2 linked regions of the Anolis sagrei genome follow. The protein of the gene in region 1 interacts with the protein of each later gene in a pairwise test. Links are inferred from orthologs where the notes say so. Each region holds a gene or a part of one and is shown on either strand. Other genes may lie near its edges. The genes, in order: SUPT20H and MAPK14.

Region 1 (7,963 bases):
TCAGTAACAGACCTAGGTTTTCCATTTTGCAATGTGTAAAACAGCTCGCAATAAAGGTATCTCTCTTTTTCACAATCCTGCTGCTATAAAAAGAATACAACTGCCTAACTAAAGGCAACTGAATTCTTGTAAACGGGTGTGAAACAGCATGAATGAGACAGAGCATCATGACAAACCTTACTGGTGACTTACCTTGAAGTAAATATTCCATGTTTATGGTCCCGCCAGTGACTGGCATCATGGTGACTGGAGGAGCCTCCATGGTGAAATCTTCCCTACAAGGAAAACAGGATCAATTAGAATGGGCTGCGGATTTACAGGCTGGGGAATAAAGGTCTCCCACGAAGCTATCTAGATAAAAATGTATATATTACAGAAAAGTACATAAAACAGTTTTGTTTTAATGGGTTTTAAAAATCATATCAGATAAATCATTTTCTAAGGATGCAGTTTTAAACTGACATGTAGAATCCTCCTCAAACTCTGACTTGATAACCCCAGTACCATGGCCTGCTTATGAGTGGAACGCCTGCACAACTGCTGTGGGGAGGCTTTTCCTGCTTCCATATTTTCTGGCACTCTAATGGCACTTGGTTTGCCAGGGACTTTCTTTTCAGTGTTCATCCAGTTGGCCAGAGATTAGAAATCCATAACAAAAAAATGTTTTCTGATTTAGTACAGATGCATTTAAACTGAGCGCAAAGCAAGTAAGAACGCCCTCAACATTGTTATCACAGAACGGTTGTTTTCTGTCTCGAATTCCTCTGTTTTCTTAATGTTGTTCTTTATTCACTGTTCTGATTTTAGAGTTTTTAAATACTGGCAGGCATATTTTGTTCATTTTCATGGTTTCCTCCTTTCTGTTGAAATTGTCCACATGCTTCCTGTGGATTTCAGAAAACAGAGGAATTCCAGTCATGAATCAATCAGGGCCAGCTCACACCTCCCAACAAAGGATTGGAAGTAAACAGCCAGACCTTGAAACTGAAAGGCTCATCAATGCTAATCAAGGTGGTCAACTGCAACATTCACACTTGTCTGAGTGAAAGAGGGTCTACACTAGCAAACCTTTTGTATCATTACCCCAATACCCCCATGCATATGGGATATATTGAGTATGGTGATCAGATCATGATATGAATAAATGTAACAGTTTAAATAATGCACCAGTAAGGCCTTCTTGCAAACCACCATGAGAATTTGGGGGGGGGGGGAGGGGCTGAAGCCCCTCAAGCCCCCCCCCCCCCCAGCTACATGCCTGCTCAGCGGTTTAACCCACTGTGCCACTGGGGGCCTGTTAAATATATTGTATTACAAAAGGTGTTGGGTTCTGGCCCAACTTATCTGTCCAAACGCATCTCCCCTCATGAATCATCGAGGACTTTAAGATCGTCTGGGGAGACCTTGCTCTCAGTCCCGCCTTTGTCACAAATACGTCTGGTGGGGACGAGAGACAGGGCTTTCTTGGTGGTGGCCCCTTGGCTATGGAATGCCCTCCCAATAGGTAGGTACATACATCGATCAATCAGGAGGACTGCTGGGAGTTACAGTCCAAGAATAGGTAGAGAAGGAAGAAAGGAGAGAAAGATAAAGGGAAAGATAAGGGGGGGGGAGAAGTAGAGAAGGAAGGAAGGACAGAAGGAAAGAAAAAAGGGGAAGGAAGAAAGGAGAGAAAGGGGAGGGAAGGTTGGCCACCTTAACGCGTGGTGGGTACAGCTAGTGGGGAATAATAGGGATTGCTGTTATTATCAGAACATGAAGAATGGGAAACCCAACCTTGCCACCAAAGTAGGAAAGAAACCAATAGCCAGACAACGAGAGACTGAGAACAATCTTCCTGAACCTTTTACATCTACTGAATTGGACATGGCTCTCAATAAATGTAAAAAATGGCAAAGCAGTTGGTCTGGATGATCTACGGATGGAACAAATCAAGAACTTTGGCCCAAAAGCAAGGCACTGGCTGCTGGAGCTGATGAACTACTGCACTGCTTCCTGTCGGATCCCCAAAATCTGGAGTCATTGCCATCTTGAAGCCAGGCAAAGACTCAAGATGAAGCCAGGTAATGACTCAAAAAGCTACAGACCAATCTCCCTGTTGTGCCACCTGTACAAAGTTCTGGAGAGACTTATTTTGCATAGAATTACAGAAGAAATAGACCCGTGTCTGATCCCACAGTAAGCTGGCTTCAGGAAAGGCAAAAGCTGCACATCGCAAGTGCTGAACCTGACTCAGCACATAGAAGATGGCTTTTAAAGGCAGCAGATCACAGAAACTGTCTTCATAGACCTGGCAGCAGCCTATGATACTGTGAACCACCGCTCCTATTAATGCAGGCCAAAATCCCATTGGCTTTTTTTGCCGCCTCATCACATTGTTGGCACATGTTTAACTTGTTGCCCACGAGGACTCCAAGATCTTTTTCACACGTACTGCTCTCGAGCCAGGCATTGTCCCCCATTCTGTATCTTTGCATTTTATTTTTGCTGCCAAAGTGGAGTATCTTGCATTTGTCCCTGTTGAACTTCATTTTGTTAGTTTTGGCCCATCTCTTTAATCTGTCAAGATCGTTTTGAATCCTGCTCCTGTCCTCTGTAGTATTAGCTATCCCTCCCAATTTGGTGTCGCCTGCAAACTTGATGATCCTGCCTTCTAACCCTTCATCTAAGTAATTAATAAAGATGTTGAACAGGACCAGGCCCAGGACGGAACCCTGCTTGTGGCACTCAGCTTGTCACTTCTTTCCAGGATGAAGAGGAAGCATTGGTGAGAACCCTCTGGGTCCGTCCATTTAACCAAATACAGATCCACCTCACCGTAGTTTTGCCTAGCCCACATTGGACTAGTTTGTTTGCCAGAAGGTCATGGGGGACCTTGTCAAAGGCCTTACTGAAATCCAGGTACACTACATCCACGGCATTCTCCGCATCTTCCCAGTTTGTAACTCTATCGAAAAGATTAGTCTGGCATGAGATGGTAGAACAGAAGCTCTCCGAAGCTCTAGGTGCTCTTACTGCCCATTAAAGGGAAAACCAGCTGTTCCCCAACCCATCTAAAACACAGACATGTGCTTTTCATCTCAAGAACAGACAAGCATCCCGAGCTCTGAGGATTACCTGGGAAAGAATCCCATTGGAGCATTGCAACGCACCCAAATACCTGGGAGTCACTCTGGACCGTGCTCTTACCTGCAAGAAGCACTGTCTGAACATCAAACAAAAAGTGGGTGCTAGAAACAATATCATACGAAAGCTGACTGGCCCAACCTGGGGATCACAACCAGACACAGTAAAGACATCTGCCCTTGCGCTATGCTACTCTGCTGCTGAGTATGCATGCCCAGTGTGGAACACATCTCACCACGCTAAAACAGTAGATGTGGCTCTTAATGACATGCTGCCTTATCACAGGGTGTCTGCGCCCTACACCACTGGAGAAATTACACTGCTTAGCCGGTATTGCACCACCTGACATCAGCCGGGACGTAGCAGCCAATAGTGAAAGGACCAAGGCAGAGACATCTCTAGCTCATCCCCTGTTTGGGTATCAGCCAGCACGTCAATGATTTAAATCTAGAAATAGTTTTCTAAGATCTACAGAGACACTTGCAGGAACACCTCAGCAAGCCAGAGTCCAAAAGTGGCAGGCTCAAACCTAGCACCTCAACCAATGGCTGATACCAAATGAGAGACTCCCCCCTGGGCACACAGAAAACTGGGCGACTTGGAAGGCGCTGAACAGACTGCACTCTGGCACCACAAGATGCAGAGCCAACCTCAAGAAACGGGGCTACAAAGTGGAATCCACGACATGCGAGTGTGGAGAAGAGCAAACCACACTGACCACCTGCTGCAATGCAACCTGAGCCCTGCCATATGCACCATGGAGGACCTTCTTACAGCAACACCAGAAGCACTCCAAGTGGCCAGCTACTGGTCAAAGGACATTTAATCAACTACCAAACTCGCAAATTTTGTATTTTGTCTGTTTGTTTGTTTTGTTCTGGTAGAAATGTAATACAATTGACTGGTTGCCCTGACACAACAAATAAAATCAGAACATTGCATTTATTTCCTATGCAAGCAAAGTGATGCTTAAGACTAAAACACAGACATGTGCTTTTCATCTCAAGAACAGACAAGCATCCTGAGCTCTGGATTACCTGGAAAAGAATCCCACTGGCTGATACCAAATGAGACTCCCCCTTGGGCACACAAAAAACTGGGCGACTTGGAAGGCGCTGAACAGACTGAGCTCTGGCACCACGAGATGCAGAGCCAACCTTCAGAAATGGGGCTACAAAGTGGAATCCACGACATGCGAGTGTGGAGAAGAGCAAACCACTGACCACCTGCTGCAATGCAACCTGAGCCCTGCTACATGCACCATGGAGGGCCTTCTTGAAGCAACACCAGAAGCACTCCAAGTGGCCAGATACTGGTCAAAGGACATTTAACCAACTACCAAACTCACAAATGCTGTATTTTATCTGTGTGTTTGCTTTGTTCTGTTAGAAATGTAATATAATCGACTGGTTGCCCTGACACGACAAATAAATAAGAACTCCCCACGTGCCTTAAACGCGGGCCTACAAGCATTCAGCTGAACTAGAGAAGCAGCAGTAATAAGCACAACTCTCGCGGGAAGTGCGCTGCAGGCGAGATTTCAGAGTGCCCGTGAGAAGCGAGCAATTCCGGTCTCAGCAGCATCGCGAGATGCGAGTCTGCGCGCGCGCGGTTCTTCCTTCGGGCGGAAGCTGGGTTTCAAGAGCCGCTGCTGAAAGCGGAGGAGGAAGAGTCACTGGCTGTGGTGAGCGGGGGTCGCGGTTGTTTGGGGCCCTTCGCGGCGTTGCCATGTTATTCAGTCGCGGTTTGAATGGGCGGAGATACAGGTGTCGGAGTAAGCGGCGCTTCACAGGTGGCCGTCTGACGTGTTGAGGGCTGCCCTTGTCTCTTCTCTTGCATTGGAGCTTGGGGGGGGGGGGGGTGATAGCTGGGCCCGGAAGCTCCGAGTGTTACGCACATTCCGCAAAGGCGGTTGTGAATAAGGGAAGGGGAGAGCGGCACGCGGAGGAGGGCGGGGATAGACTTCAATTTGGTGGAAGGATAGAAAGGAGGGGATTAGGGTAACGTTTAGGATGAGGTTTAGGGTTTGGAGTAGGACAAGGGTTAGGGTTAGGGTTAGAATTAGGGGTTAGAGTAAGGGTTAAGGTTTTGTTGTTGTTGTTCATTCGTTCAGTCGCCTCCGACTCTTCGTGACCTCATGAACCAGCCCACGCCAGAGCTCCCTGTCGGCCGTCACCACCCCCAGCTCCTTCAAGGTCAGTCCAGTCACTTCAAGGATGCCATCCATCCATCTTGCCCTTGGTCGGCCCCTCTTCCTTTTGCCTTCCACTTTCCCCAGCATAATTGTCTTCTCTAGGCTTTGCTGTCTCCTCATGATGTGGCCAAAGTACTTCAACTTTGTCTCTAGTATCCTTCCCTCCAGTGAGCAGTCGGGCTTTATTTCCTGGAGGATGGACTGGTTGGATCTTCTCGCAGTCCAAGGCACTCTCAGAACTTTCCTCCAGCACCACAGTTCAAAAGCATCGATCTTCCTTCGCTCAGCCTTCCCTAAGGTCCAGCTCTCACATCCATAGGTTACTACAGGGAATACCATGGCTTTGACTAGGCGGATCTCTGTTGCCAGTGTGATGTCTCTACTCTTCACTATTTTATCGAGACTGGACATTGCTCTCCTCCCAAGAAGTAAGCGTCTTCTGATTTCCTGGCCACAGTCTGCATCTGCAGTAATCTTTGCACCTAGAAATACAAAGTCTGTCACGGCCTCTATGTTTTCTCCCTCTATTTTCTAGTTGTCAATCATTCTTGTTGCCATAATCTTGGTTTTTTTATGTTTAACTGCAACCTGGCTTTTGTGCTTTCTTCTTTCACCTTGATTAGAAGGCTCCTCAGCTCCTCCTCGCTTTCGGCCATCAGAGTGGTGTCATCTGCATATCAGAGGTTTTTAATGTTTCTTCCAGCAATTTTCACCCCAGCTTTGCATTCGTCAAGCCCCGCACATCGCATGATGTGTTCTGCAAGTTAAAAAGGTTGGGTGAGAGTATGCAGCCTTGCTGTACGCCTTTCCCAATCTTGAACCAGTCTGTTGTTCCGTGGTCAGTTCTGACTGTTGCTACTTGGTTTTACTTGGTTAAGGTTTTACCATTAAAGAAATCTTACATTCCTTCTTTAATATCTCTGTTCCATTCTGCGTTGTGCAAACAGTGCAGCGCAGCGGAAACAGCGTAAGGCTCAGCGCTTCCGGACCCAGCTTTCATACTATTACCGAGCTTGGTCTCAAACTGCAGCCCTCCAACTCCCAGAATTCCTGACCATGGAGCAAGCTGGCGAGGGCTTCTGGGACTTGGAGACCCACGCAGCTGGAGGAAGCCTTTTGTCCTGTTTGAGCGCCAGGCTATGGCTCTAGAGACACGGGTTCGGATCCCACTCCCACTGAGTGATCCTGGGTGAACCGCACCCTCTCGGCCTCAGAAAACTCCGTCGAAGGGCCGCCATGGGTCGGAAACGACACGGAGGCACATAAACTGCATGGAAAGGAATGGTATCTGAACAATGGGAAGAACTTCCTGAGCTGATCAGCAATGGAATATATTCCTGCCTTGGGGTGGAGGTTTTTAAGCAGAGGCTGGATTGCCATCTGCCAGGGGTGCTTGGATGGTGTGTTCCTGCAAGGCAGAAGAGCGCTGGACTGGACAATAATGATGAATTTATTGCCTGCCTCTCACTGTAACTGGACGTGGGATACAACATCGTTTTATTTATTTATTGTGTCAGAAATGAATTGAGAATACAGTTATAATGTATAAAAAACCACAAACAAAGTTAAAAACTTGGCATTGTGCTAAATTTCCTTTGACCAGTAGCTGACCACTTGGAGTGCCTCTGGTGTTGCTGTGAGAAGGTCCTCCATTGTGCATGTGACAGGGCTGATGCTGCATTGTAGTAGGTGGTCTGTGGTTTGCTCTTCTCCACACTCCCATGTTGTTGACTCTACTTTGTAGCCCCATTTCTTAATATTGGTTCTACATCTTGTGCCTTCCAAGTCTTCCAGCCTGCTGTGTGCCCAGGAAGGAGTTTCTCATCTGGTCTCAGCCGCTGATTGATGTTCTGGGTTTTAGCCTGCCACTTTTGGACTCTTGCTTGCTGCGGTGTTCCTTCAAGTATCTCTGTAGATATTAGGAAGCTATTTCTTGGTTTAAGACGTTGACGTGCTGGCTCATATCTGAACAGGGAATGGACCAGAGATGTCAATGCCTTGTTCCATTCATTACTGGCTGCTACTTCCCATGGACCTCATGGACCAACCCACTCCAGAGCTAGCTGTCAGCCATCGCCACCCCCAGCTTCTTCAAGGTCAAACCAGTTACTTCAAGGATACCATCCAGCCATCTTGCCCTTGGTTGACCCCTCTCCTCCCCCCCCCCCCCCCGGTATCATTATCTTCTCAAAGGTATCCTATCCTGTCTTCTCATTATGTGGTCAAAATACTTCATGGTTGCCTTTAATAGCTTTTCCTCCACTGAGCAGGGTTTTTTTCCCCTGGAGTATGGACTGGTTTGATCTTGCAGTCCAAGGCACTCTCAGAATTTTCCTCCAACACCATAGTTCAGAAGTGTCTATCTTCCTTTGCTCAGTCCTCCTTATGGTCCAGCTCTCGCATCCATAGGTTACTATGGGGAATACTATTGCTTTAACTATGTGGACCTTCATTGCCAGTATGATATCTCTACTCTTCACTATTTTATTGAGATTGGTCACTGCTCTCATCCCAAGAAGTAAACATCTGATTTCCTGGCTGTAGTTTGCCTTTGCTGTAATTTTCACACCCAGAAATACAGAGTCTGTCACTGGCTCCACATTTCTCGCTCTTTCCACTGTTTTAACATGGTGAAATGTATTC
Region 2 (7,699 bases), on another chromosome or scaffold:
ACGGGTTAAAGAAAATTATTATAAGCTAATATGGAAGTGGTATCTAACATCAGTAAGAATAGCATATATAAATAAAAATAATTCAAAAAATTGTTGGAGCGGGTGTCAAAAACCAGGAACATACATACATATGTGGTGGCAATGTAAATATGTAAATAATTTTTGGGAGAAAGTATTTAGAGAAATAGAAGATATAATGAATATGAAAATTGAGAAAAGTCCTAGTATAGCCTTATTATCACTATATAACAACAAACAATTGAACAAGGAGGATAAAGAAGTGATAAACTTATTAACAATAGCAAGACTGCTCATAGCAAGGAACTGGAAAAAAGAAATAAATATACAAATAGAGGAGTGGTACAAGGAAGCATGGAAATTGGCAATAAATAATAAGCTGACATGTATATTAAAAGTTAAAAAAGTATATGGAAACAAAGTGATTTTGATGTTGTATGGGGTAAATTTGTTGTAAATGGTTTAAAAAACAAGGAAGGTTACCGCCACAAGAAGAAATGAGATTTTGGACAGATGATATGTAAAAGTTGTGGCTTGAAATGGGGGGAGGGGAGCACAGTGGTGGGGGGAAAAAAGGGGGAAAATGCTTAAGCAGAAGAAAAAGATTATATGTTAAAGAGGGTGTTGAATAATATGTAACTGCTATAAACAAATGTATAATAAATGTAATAATTATGATAAAGTAATAAAAATATTTAAAAAATAAAAAATAAAATGTATATCTATAAAAAGATACATATTAAAATTTATTTCTATAAAATGTGTATTAAAATGCAAAAAAACACAACCCAGATTAAACAAAGGACATTAAAATTCATGTTTAAAAGCTGTTTTTATAAAAGCATCTTGGTTGAGTGACAGCAACAAAAAAATTGCCAGACTATACCAGATGCATAATTCTTAGGTGTAAAAATAATATCCCATGAGATTAGCATAAACACAAGGACTGCGAGAGAAAGTTGCACCATCTAGTTGAAGAATTGGCAGGAAAGCCACAAATGTAATCTTGGATTTCCCAGGGTGCACCTTCTACACTGTAGAATGAATTGCAGTTTGGCACCACTTCAACTGCTGTGGGGTCCAGGGAGCTGTAGTTTGACAAGAGCTTTAGCCTCCTCTGCCAAAGAGTGTGTATGCCTTGCCAAAGTACAACTTCCAGGATTCTGTGCCATTGAGCCAGGGCAGGTAAAAGTGGTGTCAAACCGCATTCCTATAGCAGGCATGGGCAAACTTTGGCCCTCCAGGTGTTTTGGACTTCAACTCCCACAATTCTTAACAGCCTACAACCTTGTTGGTCAGGAATTTTGGATATGACATCTGTTTACTGGTTGACTCATAAATTAGTGGCAAAGGAAATTATACTTGTTCAGGCCTTGGTTGTGGGATTATGTGTTTGTAATTGTTTTGTAATTGTTTTGTGTTCTGTTTACACTGTAATGTGTTAATATATGTAAATTTAATTAAAAAAAAGCAATTGTGGGAGTTGAAGTCCTAAACACCAGGAAGGTCAAAGTTTGTCCATCCCTGTTCTACAGTGTAGAGCAGCGTTTCTCAACCTGGGGATCGGGGCCCCTGGGGGGGATCACGAGGGGGTATTGGAGGGGCTGCGAAAGACCATGTGGGGGGGGGGGGGTTCAGAATGCTCTTTGATTGTAGGTAAACTATAAATCCCAGCAACTACAACTCCAAAATGTCAAGGTCTATTTTACCTAAACTCCACTAGTATTCACATTTGGGCATATTGAGTATTTGTACCAAGTTTGGTCCAGATCTATCAACGTTTGAGTCCACAGTGCTCTCTGGATGTAGCTGAACTACAACTCCTAAACTCAAGGTCAATGCCGACCAAGCCCTTCCAGTATTTTCTGTTGGTCATGCGAGTTCTGTGTTTCAAGTTTGGTTCAATTCCATCGTTGGTGGAGTTCAGAATGCTTTTTGGTAGATGAACTAAAATCCCAGCAATTACTATTCCCAAATGGCAAAAATCAACCCCCCCCCCCCCCCCTCCAAGCCCCACCAGTATTCAAATTTGGGCATATTGGGTATTTGTGCCAGATTTGGTCCAGTGAATGAAAATACATCCTACATATCAGATATTTACACGACGATTCATAACAGTAGCAACATTACAGTTATGAAGTAGCAGATGACGTCCAAATCTGTCACTCCTTCCCACCCCGTTACTAAGGAGGCTGTTCAGCTACTGAACCAGTGCTTGGCCACTGTGTTGGACTGGATGAGGGCTAACAAATTGAAATTGAATCCTGACAAGACAGAGGTCAGTCAAAAGGCCGAACAGGGCATAGGGTTACATCCTGTGTTGGATGGGGTTACACTCCCCCTGAAGACGCAGGTTCGCAGCTTGGGAGTGATCCTGGATTCATTGCTGAGCCTGGAACCCCAGGTTTCAGCGGTGGCCAGGGGAGCTTTTGCACAGTTAAAGCTTGTGTGCCAGCTGCGCCCGTACTTTGGGAAGTCTGATCTGGCAATAGTTGTCCACGCTCTTGTTACATCCCGAACTGATTACTGCAACACATTCTACACGGGGCTGCCTTTGAAGCCTGTTCGGAAACTTCAACTAGTCCACCGGGCTGCAGCCAGATTACTAACTGGAGCGACATACAGGGAGCACACCACCCCCTTGTTGTGCCAGCTCCATTGGCTGCCGATACACTTCCAAACTCAATTCAAAGTGCTGGTTTTGACCTATTAAGCTCTATGCAGTTTTGGCCCAACTTACTTGTCTGAACGCATCTCCCTCTATGTCCTGCTTTGCAGTTTAAGATCATCCGGGGAGACCCTGCTCTCGCTCCCGCCAGCATTACAAATACGTCTGGCAGGAATGAGAGACAGGGCCTCCTCGGCTGTAGCCCTCTGCCTGTGGAACTCGCTTCACAACGAGGTAGATCGGCTTCATCCCTCCTGTGTTTTAGCAAGAAATTGAAGTCGTGGTTTCCGAACCGTCTTCAAAGACATCCCCATGTAGAGTGCGTTGCAGTAATCTATTCGGGATGTGACCAGAGCGTGGACGACCATAGCCAGTTCAGACTTCCCAAGGTACGGGTGTAGCTGGCGCACAAGCTTTGACTATGCAAAAGTTGACGTGGCCACCGCCAAAACCTGGGGTTCCAGGCTCAGCAATGAATCCAGAACCACTCCCAAGCTCCGAACCTGTGCCTTCAGGGGGAGTGTAACCCCATCCAACTTTGGATATGGAATTTGACTGGAATGGTGATACGGTGGTTAATACTGTTTTTATTGTTTTATTTAATGTTCTATTTATGTTTTAATTGTTGTTATATTGCTTTGTTATATTTAATGGCATCACATTGTGCCAAATTTAAGTCATCCTGAGTCCCCCTTCAGGGGTTGAGAAGGATGGGGTAGAAATACTGGAAATCTATATATATATAAATGCTCTGTGCATAATGAGTACCTTAAAAACAAAAGAACCAGTGAACGAAATCACACCAAATTTGGCAACAAAACGTCTCACTATACAAGGAGTGGCCATCACTCAAAAAAATATTATTTTGTCATTTGGGAGTTGTAGTTGCTGGGATTTATAGTTAACCTATAATCAAAGAGCATTCTGAACTACATTAACGATGGAATTGAACCAAACTTGGCACACAGAACTCCATGACCAACAGAAAATATTGGAAGGGTTTGGTGGGCAGTGTCCTTTGGTTTTGGAGTTTTGTTTTTTTGTTGTTGTTGTTTTTTTTTTTTGTCGTGTCAGGAGCAAGTTGCTTCTCTTGTGAGAGAATTGGCTGTCTGCAAGGACGTTGCCCAGGGGACGCCTGGATGATTTGATGTTTTTATCATCCTTGTGGGAGGCTTCTCTCATGTCCCTGCATGAGGAGCTGGAGCTGATAGAGGGAGCTCAACCGCCTCTCCCTGGATTCGAACCTGCGACCTGTCGGTCTTCAGTCCTGCCGGCATAGGGGTTTAACCCACTGCGCCACCGGGGGCTCCTACTTTTGGAGTTGTAGTTCACCTACATCCAGAGATCACCGTGGACACAAGCAATGATGGATCTGGACCAAACTCTACATGAATACTCAATATGCCCAGATGTGAACACTGGTGGAGTTTGGGGGAAATAGAATCTTGACATTTGGGAGTTGTAGTTGCTGGGATTTATAGTTCACCTACAATCACAGAGCATTCTGAACCCCACCAACGATAGAATTGGGCCAAACCTCCCACACACAACCCCCATGTGGGCCACAGCAACGTGTGGCAGGGGACGGCTAGTAAGTAAATAAATAGCAACCAAAATAATTTTGTGATTGGGAGTCACCACAACAGGAGGAACTGTATTAAAGGGGTCCTGGACTAGAAAGGTAGAGAAACACTGGTGTAGAGAGAGAGAGAGAGAGAGACAGACCAGCTGGAGCTGTCACAAAATCTCATCCTTCCTGTTCTCAAGCTCCGCCTTCTTTCGCCTTTTCTTCTCGCTGCCTTCAGGCTCTCGCGAGACCTTCCCGCTGCTCCGCGGATTCCAGAGCGCTCCAGCTAGGTTCCATATTGGGGCATCTCGCTGGGAGTTTTTTTTTTTCCATCCATCTCCCGGAAGTCTCGCGAGACCTCCGCGATCGATTGGTTCTGGCATCTAAGGAAGAAGGGGAGGTCGGGAGAAGTCAGGCGCGGGCGAGTCCTCGTCGTTGCGGGGCTGAAGCGGGCTTCTTCCAGGGCGACCGCAAGCCTCCTTACGCTGAGGGGGGAAGGCTTTTTGCAGGGGGTGGGGTGAGGGGGTCCCTAAAAGCAGTTCCCAAGGAAAGAGGCGCCCCGTGTTTCCCCTGCAGCGGCACGAGGCGTCCGGGCCAGCTGAGGCGGCGGTTGGGCGCGCGCGCAGCACAGAGAGAGAGAGTGTGTGTGTGTGTGAGTGAGTGAGTGACGGAGAGACCCCTCCCCTTTCCCCCCTCCCCTCTGAAGGGGGCGGAGCCAAGGGTCCCGTGCGAGGGTCTCCCTCCCTCCAGGCCGCGCTGGGCGGGGCGGGCCCGGGGTCGCGATGACCCACGAGCGGCCCAAGTTCTACCGGCAGGAGCTGAACAAGACCATCTGGGAGGTCCCCGAGCGGTACCAGAACCTCTCGCCGGTGGGCTCCGGGGCCTACGGCTCGGTCTGGTGAGTGGCAACCCTTCGTCGAAAAGGGAGGGAGCTCCTTAACAGAGCCTCAGGGTCACACGTTCAAGGCAGACCGCCTTGGCCGCATCTGCAGTTTGACACCCCTGCAGTTGCCCTGTCTCAGTGCTGTGGAGTATTGGGAGTTCTAATTCGATGAGTTAGCATCTCTTTGGCAGAGATGGCTGAAGGCTCCTAGGATTACAATATATTCGTAATAATACAATATAAAAATCATATATTGGCCAAGTCTTTCATGGCTGGGATTATTTGCTTTAGGTTTTGTATTGTTATATTGTGTGTTGAGGCCTTGGCCTTTGTAAGCCGCATCGAGTCCTTCGGGATATGCTAGCGGGGTACAAATAAAGTTTAATAATAATAATAATAATATTTAGGGTTATGGGGGCTTGGAGAGTCTCCCGAGTACTGGTGGCTGCTGCTGGGCTCCTCCAGACCTCTGGCCATTGGCGTAATTTATTTCATTAAAATAATAATAATCACTGGATTGTTGTAGGTTTTTCGGGCTATATGGCCATGTTCTAGAAGCATTCTCTCCTGACGTTTTGCCTGCATCTATGGCAAGCATCCTCAGAGGTAGTGAGGTCAGATTTCACAATAATAATAATAATAATAATTATCTTTACTTATACCTCGCCACCATCTCCCCGATGGGGACTCGGAGCGGCTTACATGAGGCCAAGCCCAAACAACAATTACAATAAAGAAAAAAAAACCAAAACACAAACCGAAAATGCAAACAATAACAATAACATCATATTAACATAAAACATACGCATACATAACAATGTAAAAATTACAAGTAGCACAGGCAAAATAACAATAACAACCTGTGAGGATGCTTGCCATAGATGCAGGCAAAACGTCAGGAGAGAATGCTTCTAGAACATGGCGACATAGCCCGAAATACCTACAACAACCCAGTGATTCCGGCCATGAAAGCCTTTGAAAATACATTAAATCAGTTTACAAAATCAAAATACAGATGCAGGCAAAACATCAGGAGAGAATGCTTCTGGAACATGGCCATATAGCCCGAAAAACCTACAACAACCCAATTATCATATACTTTATATTACTAATAATATTACAGTTTAGAAATACAGTACAATATTGTAATATTTAATACTATATTGTGCTGTGCCAATAATATAATATATTGTATAGACATATGTTATTGATAATATTATAATGTAATACAAAATAATACTAATAATACAGTGTAATAATTTATATTTCATATTACATGTAATACTGCAGTATGGTGGTATAGTACAGTATAGTAATATATAATACTAATATTGTGCTGTGCTAATATTATATATTGTATATACATATATTATTGATAATATTACAATGTAATATAATACTAATAATACAATATAATAATTTTATATTCCATATTACATGTAATATTACAGCATAGTGGTATAATACAATATAGTAACATGTAATACTAATATTGTGCTGTGCTAATGATGTAATACATTGTATGTACATATAACTTGTAAGCTGCTCTGAGTCCCCTTTGGGGTGAGGAGGGTGGCATGTAAATGTCATAAATAAGTAAATAAATAGGATTCCATAGCACTGAGCCATGGCAGTTAAAGCACTGACAAAGTGCATTAATTCAACATCCTGACTGAGAGTACATCTACGCTGCAGAATCAGCACAGTTTGATACCAGTTTAACCATGGCTCAATGCTGTCGAATCCTGGGGGTCCAGCCATATCTGCAAAATCGTGCATTCCATAGCATTGAGCCAAGGCAGCTAAATTGGTGTCAAACAGCATTCAGCTCCTCTCCTGTGCAAAAGCTGGCTGGCTGGCGATGCCGCCTCTACGCAGGTGCATTGTGCACTGTCACAGTATCTGCTGCAGTTCGCGCGTCTCTCCTGCAAACCTCCTTGACCCCTTCGGTTCTGTCTTTGCATGCACCCCACTAGCTTTTGGTGCTGAGGAGGCAGCCTTTGGCAAAAAGGAGTTGTTTCATAATTGTTCAAGGTTGGTTTTTTTTTTGAGATTGCAAGGGGTATAAAGAGGCTTGGCATTTTAGAAGCTACTCCGGCATTATATCGACTTTCATTCTTGTTCTTTTGCCAGCCCAATGTATATTGAGTTTCCCTTATTTTGAATTCCAGAATCCTCCAAAATTTCAATCACTCTTGGTTCCAAACATTTTGGCTAATTGGGGTCAAATTTTGTTGCTTTCTCTTACTGCATGATATTGCTCATACTAAAGTTTCCATGTCTTCGTGACAGAAGGCATTGAGGCCAGCCTTATTATGTTTATCTTACATTGCATCTACACTTCAGAATTAATGAAGTTTGACACAGCTTTAATTTCCTTTGCTCAATAATATGGAATACTGGGATCTGTAGTTTGGTGATGCACCAGCACTCTTTGGCAGAGAAGGCTAAAGACCTTGTAAAATTTCAGCCCCCATGATCACATTGCATTAATCCAACAGTTAAGCAGTGTCAGACGCATTAATTCAACTTTGTAGGTTCATCCTTAGTCTGTGATGTACAT

The links.
Region 2: the proteins of SUPT20H (region 1) and MAPK14 interact in binary tests that used the Homo sapiens proteins (3 or more experiments, as listed by UniProt). The link is inferred for Anolis sagrei from reciprocal best matches to the Homo sapiens genes SUPT20H and MAPK14.

What each region holds. Positions count from the first base shown.
Region 1 is NC_090022.1:166,996,805-167,004,767, reverse strand, and holds the start of SUPT20H (transcription factor SPT20 homolog), read left to right. Parts: upstream 1-4,711; 5' UTR 4,712-4,810; intron 4,811-7,963. Other genes in the region: mediator of RNA polymerase II transcription subunit 18-like, read right to left, coding at 193-262. UniProt on the Homo sapiens protein: Required for MAP kinase p38 (MAPK11, MAPK12, MAPK13 and/or MAPK14) activation during gastrulation.
Region 2 is NC_090024.1:186,304,250-186,311,948, forward strand, and holds the start of MAPK14 (mitogen-activated protein kinase 14), read left to right. Parts: upstream 1-4,576; 5' UTR 4,577-5,035; coding exon 5,036-5,151; intron 5,152-7,699. UniProt on the Homo sapiens protein: Serine/threonine kinase which acts as an essential component of the MAP kinase signal transduction pathway.